2 linked regions of the Struthio camelus genome follow. Each later gene encodes a partner of the first gene's protein in a complex. Links are inferred from orthologs where the notes say so. Each region holds a gene or a part of one and is shown in the gene's direction. Other genes may lie near its edges.

What was found. The genes of interacting proteins can lie anywhere in the genome.
Region 2: the proteins of RAB11A (region 1) and SH3BP5 are in contact, whole or in part, in a crystal structure (PDB 6IXV), measured with the Homo sapiens proteins. The link is inferred for Struthio camelus from reciprocal best matches to the Homo sapiens genes RAB11A and SH3BP5. Residues at the interface, in NP_004654.1 of Homo sapiens: Tyr8, Asp9, Tyr10, Leu11, Lys13, Glu35, Phe36, Asn37, Leu38, Glu39, Ser40, Ser42, Thr43, Ile44, Phe48, Lys58, Gln63, Trp65, Tyr73, Ile76, Ala79, Arg82, Gly83; in NP_004835.2 of Homo sapiens: Asp42, Ile45, Gln46, Leu49, Glu50, Asn53, Thr56, Ile59, Asn60, Glu63, Thr64, Glu67, Lys240, Tyr243, Leu247, Leu250, Glu251, Ile253, Ser254, Asp255, Ile257, His258, Arg261.

The regions. Positions count from the first base shown.
Region 1 is NC_090953.1:3,552,763-3,560,306, reverse strand, and holds the start of RAB11A (ras-related protein Rab-11A), read left to right. Parts: upstream 1-4,500; 5' UTR 4,501-4,779; coding exon 4,780-4,819; intron 4,820-7,544. UniProt on the Homo sapiens protein: The small GTPases Rab are key regulators of intracellular membrane trafficking, from the formation of transport vesicles to their fusion with membranes.
Region 2 is NC_090943.1:48,869,691-48,877,689, forward strand, and holds the start of SH3BP5 (SH3 domain-binding protein 5), read left to right. Parts: upstream 1-4,941; 5' UTR 4,942-5,307; intron 5,308-5,382; coding exon of another isoform or gene 5,383-5,485; exon of another isoform or gene 5,486-5,671; intron 5,672-7,130; 5' UTR 7,131-7,233; coding exon 7,234-7,515; intron 7,516-7,999. Other genes in the region: EAF1 (ELL-associated factor 1), read right to left, coding at 1,493-1,587, 5,383-5,485. UniProt on the Homo sapiens protein: Functions as a guanine nucleotide exchange factor (GEF) with specificity for RAB11A and RAB25. Inhibits the auto- and transphosphorylation activity of BTK. Plays a negative regulatory role in BTK-related cytoplasmic signaling in B-cells.

The DNA.
Region 1 (7,544 bases):
GTTTCAGTAGTGAATGAATTGGCCACCAAAATCAAAATGCCTTCTTCATTCCCCAGGGCTGACTCTTCAAATCCAGTACTGTGATCACACTTGTCTGCCGACACTGTGTTTGCCTGGTAGCGACTCTCCTATTCAATATGCCGACATCAAGTAGATTTTGGCCGTAGGTAGGAAATAGAAGTCAGGGGGCAGGGTCTAGTAAGAGTAAGAAGATTTTGAGCTGTGTCTCAGAAATTATTTCCTGGCCAGCAATTATGGTGGAGCTGCAAGCATTATCTTGCTAATACGTCTCTGGAGGCAGCAGACACAGCCGAGGAGATGCGCGCTGAGTCCAAAATGGAGGCAGGAAACTGATGGCTTCATTTTGACAGTCATCATGAGAAATCCCGAGTCACTGAGCCTGTCGCGTTTGATCCCTGTTCCCAAAGCATGGTGAAAACATGCCTTCCCTTCTGCTTACCAGAATGCCAGTGTAGCACAGAAATGGTTCCAGCAGATTGTTAATCTTTTCTAGGGCTGCTGCCTTCTCTATCTTTCTTCAGATCTTTAGAAAACTAGGATGAGGTTAGGAAAGGCTTTGGAAAGATCCAGATCCAGATCCTTTGTTCTTCCAGCTCCAGAGTTAGGAAGGAAAAGGCTGATTTACAGAAAATGTTTTTGAACATTTCTTGTTATATGAGCTGTAGAAGTAGAAGAAGAATAGACTGTATGCTGGCGTTCAAATAAGTTATCAACAGAAAAATTCTCTCTACTCCATGCATTTTTATTACTCCTACCTCTGGCATGGAACTGTCCGAAAATAGAACCCGTTGTACATCATAGACCCTTTGCTCTGGTCCAGAGCCCTAAAAAGAAAAGTTTGTTATTTCAACGGATGGATTTTATACTTAAGCTTTCTTTTTTCTGATTGACTTATGTCAAGTCGGAGGTAGTGAGTGCTAAAAGCCTGCTTTTCATCTCTAATGTGACTGCTGCATTGGAAAGCTTGAATTATCTCTGCATAATTGCAATGATTCATGGTTTGTTAGAAAATTGGAAAGTATCGATTGGATTTCCCCCTTAGGAAATATTTCTCCTGTGATAGAGTAGGATGGGTTGTGGGGCTTTGCTTTTGTTCTTCCTGCCTTCTGACAGGGGAAGCTGGTGACTCCTTTCACCTGGGAAACAGGAATTTGGGTCAGCAGCCATTCAAGGGCAATCTGAATTATTGTGACTCCTACCCCAAATCATTCCCTGAGCTGCCAATTTCATGGGCTTTGCAAAGCGTGGATGGAGAATACAGAGTCAGAAGATCTGGGACCAGCAGCTCTACTGCTGAACTACTGCCCCTGCCTTATTTCAATTTCTTCTGTTTCCATGTCAAATCCAACCAGTGCTTTCTGCAAAGAGACCCTGACCTTGTTGTGGGAAAGCTAGAACCGCCAAAGATGGGGGCAAAACTCCTCTTACTTTTTTTAGGTGAGGATTCCTCTTAGGGTCGCAAGAGTAGGTGGCAGGAGCAAAGTGGGAGAATGAAGCGAGGGTGCGTGGGGGGAGCCGGACACACAGCGCCTGAGGCAGAGCAGGTCTGCGCTGACAGCCCTAACGCACACACCTGCACATTAAATGTGCTGCTGTGGCAAAATCTGGGGCCTTTTTGGCCACTGGTGTATAATTTCCAGAAAAGTACCATAAATACACAGTTATGAGTGTGTCCTCTGCTTCTTTTCTTTGCTAAATTGAACATCCAAGGTCCAGCTGAGTATCAGTCCTTGTCTCTGCTCCAGTTGCTTGCAACATGCTGCCACCACAAATGGTCTTTTCTAAGCACAACGTGAAGAATTAACAGCCAGTGAAAATTCAGGGTTTGCAATGAACTTAGCGTTCCCACAAGTACAGCACTAACGGCAATTAACGAAGCAGAAATTCCAGCGCTGAACGACTTTCTTCACATTAGAAGCTGCCAGTCCCAGAGCACATAGTCCTCTGCTATTTCAGGCCTGACCTCTGCTTCTTGGCCACATTTCATACGAGCAGGAGGTGTCCCAGGCCATCCCGTAACGCAGCAGCACACTCTAGGAGGGGACACAAAGAAGGAGCAGAACAGCCAAAACAGTCTTTGCTAACAGTGGCATTTCCTGAGGATTTGTACATTCTCACCTGGGCTTTTCATGATCAGGAACAGAATTAACCCAGCACTGACCAGACTATAAGGCTTTTTAATTTCTAGAGCTCCCTGCTAGTCCAATGCTATCCTCATTTACTGCTATCAGTTTACTCCTGTTCAGACACGCAGTTCTTTCTGCTATTTCAGTTTTGCCTGTCTACACCATGAAGAACCTGAATACAAATGAGCAAAAGCATTTAAATGGCTCAGCTAGAAATAACCCCTGTGACTACTCACGTACATGGCAATCTGCTGAAATTTCATATTGCAACACATGATTGGCAATGCCTTGTTTAATTTTGCCAAGTTGTAACTGTACAGCAATGTAGGGGCCGTCACTTTTAGCTCCGCCGGAAGAGCCATTCTCCTTACTTTGTGCCAGTTCCAGACTAGGAACATCTGCAACTTGGTGCAAGAGGAAGTGACTCTTACACATATGAAAAATGCAAATAAAGGGTGTTTCCAGGTTCTCAGCTGACAAACAAAATCCAAAGCACCAAAACGAAACAACTCTTACAGACAGCCAACTAAAAATACTTCAACTGGGCTATTTTAATTTTTTTTTTTAAGTAATAGCATCTTTGAAGGGTGAAACTAGGCCTGGGAAACGTCAGGTTAAAATTAACAGTTTTTTAATGACAAAGTTCAATGGCAGCCTGAAAATAGGATGTGAGATGGAAACTACAGAGCTATAAATACACCACAGCCTCTACACACATCAGAAGCCATTATTAATTTTAAATCCCGTCTTGCTGCATCGAGATAACTTCAGAGAACAGAGCGGCAGGAGCGGCCTAGCATTTTCAGATGCATTTTGAGCGTCCGGGGTTCATCTGGAGAGAAAAAGGGTCAACGCAGAGACCGCACATACTCCCGCAGACCTCGTGGCTGCGCTGCTACCCGCGTGCTGCCTGCTGCTGCGGGGTTTGGTCTTGCAACGCCCGTAGACACCGTTATCCCCGCCTCGCCTGCAGAGCCGGACCGCGGAGCCGCGGAGCCCTCAACACTAAGCGGGTTTCGTGCACGAATGGCGGCGAGAAGCCGGACGTCGCCACGCGCCCCAGGAAGGAAGCCAACGGCGGCCCTGGGCTCCCGCTCCACTTCCGCGCCCCTGGGCGGCCGGACTCTTACCGGGCGACTCGGGCTTCGGCTTCACACCGGGCGTCTTTGTTATCGGCGTTCCTCGCCCAGCAGCTCCCGCCTGGCTGAAGCCGCCGGAAACGTTTTCGAAGCGCAAGGCGCGCGCCACGGTTCGCTCTCGTTGCAGCCGACAGTCGGTGCCGGGCCGGGTCGCGGCGGGCGCCCCAGGGTTGACGCCCAGCGGGCGGCAACGGTAACGCCGCCACTGGTTGTAGCGATGGCTAACTCACAGCTCCTGCTGACGGCAAGCCGGTGGGAAAAGAATGAGTTTTCAGGGTTTCGGTTTAATCGTCTGGACATGAGGGCTATTTTTATCTTTCGCTATTTAGGCCTCCGGCGCGCGCCGCGGGAGCCAACGGGCAGGACCAGGCGAGGCCTTGGCCAGCGGACCCGGAGGACGACCAAAACGCGGCCGGTCGGTCTCTGAGCCGGCCTCTCCGCTCGTTTCCAGAAGAAACCCAGCTTTCAGCAGCTCCTGCGGCGCGGCGGCCCCGTTTCCCGCCTCGGGGCGGCCTCGCAGCCTCCCGCAGGCCCCGACGCCATTTTTGCTTCTCCCTCACGGCCCCGGCGCCATTTTTGTCTCTCTCTCACGGCGGGAGCGTGGCAAACCTGAGCCGCTTGGAGGCGAATACCTCCGCCCCGGGCTGGGATGCACCTCGTTAACTCAGAGTTCATTGACGTGTCGTTACGTGCCCCCAGATTGCGGGGCTGCTGACCGCTCTGTGAGCCGTGGTGGGTTTACCTCCGATCCGCCTTGGTCTCGGCACAGTTGGAGACAGCTCTGGGGTTTTCTCCCTCAGAAAATTAGCCCCCACGGTACCGTCCTTGGCCCGTGGGGACAGGGCGATGGTAGCCACTCCCCAGCGGGGGAAAGGACTAGCGGGCTAAAATCAGGAGAAAGTGTGAGGTGTAATCGTTAGATACGGCCCTGTGTCTGTGGAGCAGCACAGAGTGGAGGGGAGGAAGGCGTGCGCCTGGCCACTGCTCAGGCAGAGGACGAACAAAACCGACGGGGGCGGGGGGGTGGGAAAACAGAAGAAAAAAAAGAAAATTTCAGGTTCCACCGAGATTTGAACTCGGATCGCTGGATTCAGAGTCCAGAGTGCTAACCATTACACCATGGAACCGCTGTGGTCATCACCCGCCCCGCCCGCCTCTAATGCTTCCTCCGCCCGCTCCGCGGCGGGGCGGGGCCTGCGGGGCCGGTAGGCGGGGAGGGGCTCTGAGGGGCGGCGCCGGGCGGCACCGCACTTCCCGCCCCGCCTTGGCGACGGCGCCGCACCTTTAAGGGGGGGGGGGGGCACTGTCGCCTGTCTCCGGAAGTGACGTGTACCGCCGCGGCGCTGCCCCGGAAGCATCTCTCTGTGGGCGGGCGAGCGGAGCGCGGAGGGCGGAAGCGCTGCGGCGGCTGCAGGGAGGGGTCCGGCTCCGGCTCCCGCTCCCGTTGCCCGTCCCGGTCCTCGGCCTCCCGCCGCGCCTCGGTGCACCGCACCATGGGCACCCGCGACGACGAGTACGACTATCTCTTCAAAGGTAACGGCCTGCGGCGGCCGGTCGCCATGGCAACCGGAGGGGTCACCTTCCCCGAGGAGGGGGAGGTCTGGGCCTGGCGGGGGGCAGCGGCCTCCTCACGGGACCGGCCCTTTTCGGCGGGGGGGGGGAGCGGGTTTGGGGGGGCTCCATCGCCACTCCTTCGGCGGCCCCCGCCCCCTCGGGCCTTTTTCCCCGGAGCCCTTGGCGGAGGGGGGGGTCGTTGCCCGGCTGCCGCCTGGCGGGGCCGGTCCCGGGCGGTGTCGGCTGCGGGCTGGGGGTGGGGGTCGGGGCTGCCCCGGGGCCGGCCCTGGGGGGATCATGGGAAGGGGGCCGCCCTCCCCCGGGGCGCTGCCCGGCCGGGGGCGCTGCCCGCGGGGAGTCCCCGACCCTGGCTCGGAGGTTTCTGGAGCTTCATCGCTCGGGCGGCGTTGGGAGCCGCTGCCCGCTCCGGAGCGCTGCCTGCCGGCTTTGGTTGTTCTCCCCGCAAATAATGGTAAGTTTGGGCTGGTTTCCATTTCAGTGATCTGGCGTGCTGTCTGTGTCTTGTTTAAGGCTTCTGCTCTGTCAGTGGGCTGAGGTGGCAGCCAGCCTTTAGGAACAAAGATCCTAAGTGAGAATGCCCAAGATGGATAAGAATTACTTCCTTTTACAGCTTTTAAATGGAACTGTGAAGAAAATAAATTGTTCTTACGTTTAACGTTAGTAGAAAATGTAGCTAACTAATAAAATAGTATTATTTGTCTTCTGTGTTTTCAGTCCTTCCTTAGTTAACTCCTATTTCACAGCCAGTGGTCTTCCTTCTTGGCACCTCATATGGCACCCAGCAGAGTAGAGCAGGAACACCTTATTTTCCAGGACTGGTGCACCTTCAGTCTGCTGTACATCAGTGAGTTAGGTTAAAGATGTTTGATTGCCTTAAGTATTCCCTTTTCACTCCCTGCAGTCCAAAAAGCCAGTCTGCTGTGAAGGTTCGTAAAGCATGCAGTGAAACCCAAACTGAAATGCTGATGTTCTGAAGTTGCTTGCTTCTATGATAGCGTTTTAAAATTGGATATTTGGAATATTTTTAAAATAGCTGTTTACTGTGATACTGTACTGGACATCTGAGTTTAGGATTTATAATACTCCTTGGTACATTCTCATGGTGAGAGATGCGATTACTGGCATCGTGAAACTTGGTTGCCTAAATGAAAGAAGCAGTGTTACTTTCTGTGCTCTTAATTTCCTGTAACAACTTTGAGGAATTTAATTTTTTCTGTCTCTTTTGCCCAATTTCCATGTGGAAAATGACATTATTTCTGAGTATAAATCAGTCGTATGTACAGCAATTAAAATCAGGTCAGTTCCAAAAAGTGCCCCTCATATTCGCTTGCAGCATATGCAAAGGCCTCTCTGGCCACTAATTTAATCACAGTGAACAGTCTTATTTTAGGTACTTATATCTACAAGTTATCCAAACCATCACTTTACTTATTTATAAGTTCTGTCAGTGATATGCTTGTGATTAATGTTGAAGCTATGAAGGTGTGAGAATATAAGTGAAGTGGGGTTTGTAGGGAGACTTGCCATCTTTTAATGAAACTTCTTGTATAATGGGGAAATATTTCATGAAGCTGGGATCCAGTTGTATAGAAATGTTCAAAGCTAGTTTAGTTAACTGTCCCATCCCAAAGCTTTTTGTGTTAAGGTTATTTTATAGATGGGATTGAGAGTATAGGTGATGCTATGAAAATAGTGCTGTGAAGTGCTGATTCAGGTTTGTCAAAGCCAAAGGCGACTGCAGGAGGTTCATGCAACATCACATGAACTGAGATAAATATTTAGCTGTCGGTAGCTGAAATAACATGACAACAAATGCAGAGTGATACAAACTGGGGGAACAGTTGTAAATACGTAAATGTGTTGGTGATAGCAAACAAGCTATCACCTCTCTGGAAAGATCTTGGAATTGTTGTGAGTAGTTCTCTGAACCTAATGGCTCGTTACTAGGCACTGGTCAAAAATGCAAGTAGTAGGTAAAAAAAAAAAAAAAAATTACTGAAGATGACCTGAGAACTTAATGGGAGAATTATGCCAGTATTTGAATCTGAGACATGAACTTCTTGGATTGAAAGGAAATGCAGGAAGGACTGTCATACCCCTTTCAAAGGGGTTGTTACAGAATTAAAAAGATGGAGAAGAGCATCAAAATAATCAGGAGAGAGACCTAAAAGATTCATATTCCTCATCTTGAAGTGAAGTGCAACTTTATTAGAATTAAACTGAGTGATACAGACAAATAGGGAATAATCTCCCTGAAGACATATGCAAATTTTGGAGCAGTTTATTGTCATAAACGAAAGGTATAAATGGGTTTGAAAGGTTTTACAGATCCATAGGGGAAGAAAAATCTGGGGCACTCTTATTGTGATGATTAGAACAGAAAGCCTGAAGGTACTGCTTGTTTGAAGATGTGAGGGCCTGCTAGGACAAAGATTAGTTTGTTTGTTCTCTTATTCATAGTGTTTCTCAGGCATCCACTCTGGGCTGCTATCAGACTGGGTGTTGGTCTATAAGGACGCTTAATCCAGGAGGACTGTTCTTTTGGGCTTACCAACTTTAAGGCTTGTGGTAGTTGGGGGTTGAGTTCATAGTTTGGCTTGCTTTAAAATAATAGGGTAATATTCTGTAATCTGGCTGTCTCTCACTGCTCTTGAATTAAACTGCCACTAGTCTGTTTATATGA
Region 2 (7,999 bases), on another chromosome or scaffold:
AGAAATAGTTCTTCAAGTTATCCAAGCAGCAATGGACACCAGGAAACTCCACCGAACAAATCATCAGAGATACCCTCAGGCATCAGGCAATTTCAAAAAACAAGTTGGAATCTGAATCCTACCCAGTTTTTGGGCAACTGAAAAGCAAAGCAGGATGCAAGAAATTCAGTAAACCTTGTAAGGATGAAACGATCTCAAAACTTCTCATTCTTTTTCAGTACACTTAGAGTGTTTTCCAGCTAACTCTACTGAACTTAGGCAACACTGCCTTGGAAAAACATGCATACAGTGGCTGCATTTTGTGCAGTTAGCTGCGTAACCTGCCAGAGCATTCTAGAAGCTGAAAGCTGTTCATACCCATGGGAAGACAATCAAATTAAACCCATCAGCACAGAGATTTGGAAAGGGACATTACAAGCAATTGCATTCAACACAAAAGATTAAGAAACAACACAGTTGCCAGTCAAAGATGAATGCCATTGCTATTAATCATATTATTTTCTGTCACATTTAACACTGTTATATTCACCATTTTTATAGACAAAAAGCAACTCTGCAACATTCTGAAGCACTAAAGGTGACCAATACCATATAAAAAAGGTGAGGGGGGCAGCTAAACCCTAATTTGCTGAGAATTGTCACATCATCTAGCAATTAAAAATACCAGCACAGTAGAATAAACAATACCAAAAGGATCTGACGCATGGCTTCTAAACTGACTGTTGCCTCCTCCACAAACACCAAACCTATCTATGTCTGAATCCTGGGTTCACAGGCTTGACACACAGCACTAGCTTCTGCTAATAAACAAATCCAGTTCCAGAATGCAATCACTTTCTTTTGTTTTGGTAAGGAAATCACTGATCCTTCAATTACAAAACAGCTGCAGCTATGGACAGTTTGATCACTTCTTTATTGCTGTTTGACCATCATCTTTGCACAGTAGACCTTTACAGCATAATTTGAGGAGGAAGTGGACAGACGCTTCACTGCCACTAGCTACAAAACTCTTTCCAGCTTCCACTGATAAACCCCAGGGCAAGGAACAATCTATACCATTTGTACACACTTTAGTAACGGAAAGCACAGACTTAAAGGCCTACCTGTGGCTTCTGAACACCAAATCTTGACTCAACTCAAAACTACTCTGCCTTTCCTCCTTAAGACACAGCACTAAAAACGAATGAAAACTAGGTACAGACTTTGGGCTAATAGTAAAGTCTTCTTGTTTGTCAAAGAACAGGGGAAAGGAAGGAATCAAATGCAAAGAAAAGATTGGAACCTCCCAGGTATAAGCCTTTATAAAGGCTCGGCTGGCCTTTCCTAAGGTAACACATTACAGTTCTGGCAGCTTGAATATTGAACCCATTTGTTTTAACAAAGAGGAAAGTGAAAATTACATTTACAGTAGATTGCACCTACACAGCAACTACTTGTAAATTTGTTAGAGAGCAAACAGGGAAACATACACTATAACATACAACATACTTACTGGAATATGTGGTAAGGTGATTGTTACTTCATCTCCTTTACCAACTTGGAGCTCCCCTTCACAAGACGTATCGATCGATGCTGGTTTAAAATCATCTAAAGAGGAAAATAATTTGGATTCTATTCATGTGAAACTGTTTCTTAGAGCCTTCATAATTCATCCTCCCCTGTAAAAAGTCACTGCACGTTTACTGTGATATAGGGAACATTAAAATACACGTTAGCGCTTACAGCAGGGGTAGAATAACATACCAGCACAATGTGCCTATGCTCAGAGCTCCAGTCACATGACAATATCAGATTCTAAATTTACTTTTTAAAATGGAAGTAACTTTCTAGACCTTTGTGTGTGCAAGACCAAAAGCAGGCTTCTCCCAACGACGTCAGTACAGCGACACTTGATTTTGCAGATTTTGTAAAACTGTTCCATGCATCTCAAAAGAGTATTAACGGCAAGCCCCAGTGCCCTGTATGGGTCTTGCCACTTCCAACCCAGAGGATACTTCTGTTCGTGACAAAGAATAACTTAGCGAGGCCATCCCAGTTAGCCTCACTGATATTTCTGACAGCCTTTGATAACAGCCTTTTTGCCTCCGCACCTCCACCTCAAGCGCAGAGCAGCTCTTAAACCCCACCTGTGAGGGGGAAAACAGAGGTGCTGGTCTTATTTCACCACGCTTCATGCTAGGACAAAAACACTGTGAATAGAGAGCACAACTAAGGCAAGACACTGGGATAGCTATAAGCTGCCCCTAGTGTTTTTGGTGCCTTGTACAGAACACTCTGTCCCTCAAGCAATACACTTTTGTTTACTGTATTTAGTTGAACTAAGAACATTTTAACTTCAAAGTATTTTCCCCTCAATTACTCAGCTGCGATGAGCCATAAAAACCAGAACAAATGACCAGAACACATAACATTTTGACAGAGAATTTAGACAAAGCGAAATAATATCAGATAGATATGGATATAGGATTTTTTTTTTTAAAACAAGCATCCATTAAATCCTAGCATCTCAGAATACAAAGAGGTGCAATTACATTCACAACCAAGACTTTTAATTATTGCATTAGTTAAGACACTAACATCTCAGAACAAATTTAAAATGTAATTCCACTAGGAAAAGCACGTTTGCAGGAAAAAAACAGCTTTGTAGCAAATTCTCATTAGGAGGACATTAATGTCTAATTGAGTTTTACTTTGACAGCACAACAAGCAAAATCAGGCACACTTGACTTAATCCTCATGCCTTAACTGCCAGACCAAATCATATCCTTGGTTTTCATCTGACCAATCTATTTCTAGCTATTGTTTCCCATCTACTTCATGTGCAAGTTTGCTAAATAGAACATAAGCTCGCTGTAGAAAGGCTAGGGTCTTTGCCAAAAAGGGATCACAACTTTCAACAGCGCAGTCACTAAATGAAAAGCAAAATATCACTAACGTGCTTCTTTCTTGGATATTAACAAAATATAGAGTTATTCCAAGCAAACACTCAAACAATAAATTGTTTTCTTTTTGTATCTACTTGGCTAATTTTCCTGTAGACGGAGGGCAAACATGTCCACCTAAACGTAGCTGCAGTCCTTTTTCCAAAAGTCAAGTTTCTTTAGATGTGTTTTCCATGGATAATCCAGTTTTTCAGTTCGGAATTTCATAAACATTGCAGAAAAAGATGAGGTATTTTAAGGAGCAAGAGACAAATTTAGCCTGCAAAATCCTCTTACTGTAGTTTGTATGAAGAGGATTAGGGGAACACTATGATGCTCAGATCCTAGACTAATCATTTAAAATCAAGAGTTAGAAGAAAAAGTTATAATCAGCAAAGCGAAAGAGATCTCACTTGAAAGTCACTGACTACAAATACAGCACACAGAAAGCTCTTTGAAAATAAAACTGGATTTTTCCGGTTGTAGTCTGAAGTGTTCTGGCTTTGCAGTCCCTTAAGAAATTGATTACTGAAGACCCTTCAGTCCTAGAAATCCAAAGTATTATCTGGACATGACCTAGGTTTAATTCATATGCTATCAGACAGCAACCTCATTTGTTTGATGGTTGGGCTATTTTAAAACTTTGATTTATAAGTGAAGATTTACTACTGTGCCAGTGCTGAATAAAACTAATGGTATTATGAATAAACAGTAAAATATATCACACACATGCTACGGCCTTCTTTAGCATCATGGGGTTATGTAAGTGTAATAGAGGGGTGAACCACACAAAACTTAAGTGTTAATCTGCGGGAGAGAGTTTACTATCTAGGGAAACAGCTTCTCTGTAAACACTGATCCTCTGCTTGGATAATAGCTCAGTCTAGAAAATTGTTCTTTCAAGCCTCACTCAGGTGACTAATCTCACTGAAATTATTTACTCATAGTGTATGAAAGCAGGCTATGAAACCAGGCCTAGGAGTATACATCATACAACAAAAAATCCTGCTGTTAATAGTATAAATTCTCCACACTAATACAAAGATACTAAAATACAGTTTCACTATAATTCTCGTCTCCTGTTGCTGATTAACTACTAATTTTAAATGTTTAGAAAAAGTAATGAAAATGAAAAAGCAATTTCTTGTCTACAGCATTCAAATACAGAGATACAGGTGATCTCCTCTTCCAGGAGGAGATCCTCTAATATGATATAAAATGTATTCCACGCTAGAAAACAGCAGTTGAAAAAGACGTTTGGTGTCTTAGAAAAATACATTTTTCCAGCTCCTCCAAAGCAAAATTACTGCTCGAGACCTTGCCTCAGCATTTATCTTATGCTTATTACCACTTGTTAGGCAATACTGCATGCGTTGGAATCATTTCTGCTTGCCTTCCTGGAAAGTGACTTACAATAGACCTTGAGAGTCAACAGAGCCGGGGAAAAAGTTGCTGGGTTACATGGTGCCTCATTACGGCAACAATCAGTTAAATTGAATCGGCTGCAGACAAGCTGTACTCCTTTCCCGACACTCCTGCCCACCCAGAAGAAGCCAGACCAGGGCCTGTGGTGACCTGTAACACCAGGCCCATAAGAAAATGGAAAGCCTTCCCTTTGAGGAGGAGGAGGCTTTATGCTCTTAAACGATTCACGTGCACTTCACGAACAACTCCAGAGCCCCTTTGTCTTCTGCAGTCTGCCTCGTTCACACTTTTGCTCTACTAGAGGGGGCCGCGCGAGGAGACCCGCTCTCCCAGCACGTCTGTTTGTAAACGCTTCCAGCGCAGCCCTGGCCGGCTCTCCGTTGCCCTCCCCCTGCCCCCTCGCTGCTCGGGCTGCAGCCACAGAGCCAGAGGGCGAAAACGGGCCCTGGGGGGGACACGGGGGCTAGTTGGGGGGGGGGGGCAGGGAAGAGAGGATATAGGTCGCTGAGGGGGAAGGAATGGGCTCTAGGGGGAACGATGGACTCTGAAGGGGCAGCAGGGGCGGGAATAGGCGCTGAGGTAAGGACTGGGGAGGGGGGGAAGGAGGGCTGAGGAGGGCAGTAGGGGCGGGAAGGAGGGAGAGACGGGCGCTGAGGAGGGACGATGTCGGAAGCCGGCGCGGCATGAGGGGTGGCAGCCGGCCGGGGGCAAGCCCCACGGGGGGTAGGGGAGCCTCGTCCCCCCCGCGGGGAGGCAGGGCCGAGGCGGCGGCCTCGGGAGCGGGGTTGCGGGGGGGGGCGGCTCCGAGGCAGGGCCGGGCACCCCCCGCCATGTCGGGGAGGCGCTGGCCACCCCCCCCCCCCCGCCATTTCGGGGAAGGCAGCGAAGGGCGGCAGGAGCTAGAAGGGACGGCGGGGCCCGGGGAGGAAGGTATCGCGGCGGAGGGCGAGCTGCCGGGCAGGTAACGTGTGTGTGTGTGTATGTATATGTCCCCCCCCAACCACCACCCCGGGCGGGAAGGGGCGGGGGCGCTCACAGCGGATGGTGTGGAAGGAGGCCTTGGGCCGGCGCTCGAAGCTCTCGCCCAGCTGCAGCGGGTGCTCCTCCTTGTCCAGTAGCGGGTTCGCCGAGCCGTTCATGGCCCCGCTGCCGTGCCGTGCCGTGCCGTGTCCTGCGCCGCCCGTCCCTTCCTCTCCTCCGCCCGCTGCGTGCGCGGCCGCCCCGCGCCCTTCCGGGCCCTGAGTGCAGCCGCGAAAGTGCTCCGGGGCCGAGCCGAGCCGTCTCGTCCCGTCCCGTCCCCTCTCCCCACAGGGCACCGAGGGCAGGTGGGCGCCGTTGGGGGGGCACGCAGGGGGTCTGGCCCCGTGTGGGGCGCCCTCCCCCCCCCCCGCAGCGGGGTCTGGCCGCCCCTCGCGGCGTGGGGCGGGGGGGAGCGGGGGCTGCGCGGTGCTAACGGCTGCTAACGGCTGCTGGGGGGGTTGCGGGGCGGGCGACCGTTATCGTCGTGTCAGCTCTTTGGTTTCTGTCTAACACAGGGGTCTTTCCAGACGTAAAGGGGGCAATTTAAACGGGTCATTTCCCCCCCCCCCACTCCCCTCTCTAGCTTGTCTTACCCCAAAAAACCCCGCACGCGTTGATTTGATGCGTGCCAGGCGCACAGCAGAACCTTTTTGCTGCTGAAACTTCTCTTTTTGTTTTTTTTCTTTCTTTCTTTGAGGATATACCTTCAAGAAAAAATCAAAATATTACATATTTTGAGGAAAAGCCTGTGTCTTTAGTAGATTTTCCTTCTTCAAGGGAGTCTCATCGCTGTTGGCCTTTCCCAGCCTTCCTGCGGGCAAGCGGCGTGTGGTCTGGCTCCTGTGAAGCTGGGCACAACGGGCCCGCTTCCTCGTTTCCCGCCGTTCCCGCGTTTGTGTGTTGTGTTTGCACTGTTACGTTTGTACTAACCAAGATAAAATAGCGGAATGAAGTACTGCTCGTTGTTGTTGTTCTTTTTTGTTTTGCTGAAGGGTAGAAGTTGTTGTTTTTCCTCATTTCCGTTTCTGTGAAGCGGCACGAATGCCCAGTCCTGGGCACTGATGGACGTGGATGGGCGCGTTTTGGCCTGCCAGGGGTTTCAGGGGAGTTACTGGGTCACGCGGGATTTAATTCACGTACGCCGTCTGGGTGTTTGTGGCAAGGCAGAGCTCAGAGCTAGTTTAACGTTAGGGAAATGACTTGAATCCTTTCCTGGCCTCCATAAAGGTGTTTTTATTGCCTCATTTTTGTTAACTTCTGAAAAAAACATACCCGTCATTGTTCAAACTGCTGTGAATCCTCAGGAAGAGGCAGTGGAAGGAGTGCGAGCTCAGGAGAAATGTTAAGGTGAATATGGTTTTCTTTGCCAACTGAAACGGGACTCTTAAAAGGTGTGCCCCCTGCTTTTCAGTTGTGAGCTTTCTGAGGTGTTACTAACCAGAGTTACAAAGCCCGTGTTTTCCTTTTCTAGTCGATTTTAGTGCAAATAAACTTAGAGCTGCATCATCTCTCTCTGGTTGGGTAGTTTTCTATGATACGTGTGGAAGACCAGCAGAATTTGTCCCCTGTGTTCTTTGAGATCAGTGTAGTGTCTTACCTGGTGCTTAGCTTTGAAGGAGGATTTCTGAAAATAAGAGAAGCAAGTCTGGTGGTTTTGCGGTCTGTTATGTAGGGCAGATCACCATAAAACCTCCGAAAGTGCATACAAAAACTAACTATCTCCCTCTCTCTCTCTCTCTCTCTCTTTCTCTTTTGTGCTTTTAGATCCTTGGTTATTTACCAAAATTAAGTGATGGAAACATATATATGCTAAAAAAAAAATCACTGTTGGGGCTTTGGTATTCACATCTCTGTGAAATACTCTAGGATGTTCCATGAAAACCCACCAGCCGATTGCTTAAATTTAATAATTACATCTACTGAAGCTGATGCTTTCCAAAAAAAAGGCCATAGTGCAAGGATCCTTAGCCCCGAAGAAGCTGAGAGACTGGCAAAAGATAAGGTTTTGGTGACTGATTTCAAACAACTAAAATTGGAGAAAGAGGCACAGAAGAACTGGGATCTATTTTACAAAAGAAACAGCACCAACTTCTTCAAAGACAGACACTGGACAACCAGAGAGTTTCAAGAGTTAAAAGCATGTCGGGAGGTGAGCTGAATACACCTATCTATAAGTAAAGAGATATGATTCATTGTTTTCAAATGATGTAGTAATATTTCTAACAAAGCCATTAAGGTGAGAGCTCTCACGTTTTAAGTGTGTAGTGCTTTGTGTAGTGTAGTCTCTTTTAATGTCAAAGATATCTCCTCAGGATCAGTTTAGTTTCAGTTTATAATTCTTTCATATTGTATATGGAGAACCAAATCTGGAATATTTATTTTGCATCTGCACAGAGAGACAAGTTGTCTATTTAGGACGCAAGTTACAGCACTTAAAACACTGTTTTAAAGAAAGCATCCAGAACTACAGGCTAATTGCAAAATATCCTTAAGGGGAATAGTCAGATGCATCTGTTGCTCATTCTATCTGGATGAGACACAAGACAGCAATAGTACAACAATCTGTTAATTAAGTGGGTGGATGACTAAAGAAATATTAAAAGTTTTAAAAAGACGTGTAATTTTGCACAAAT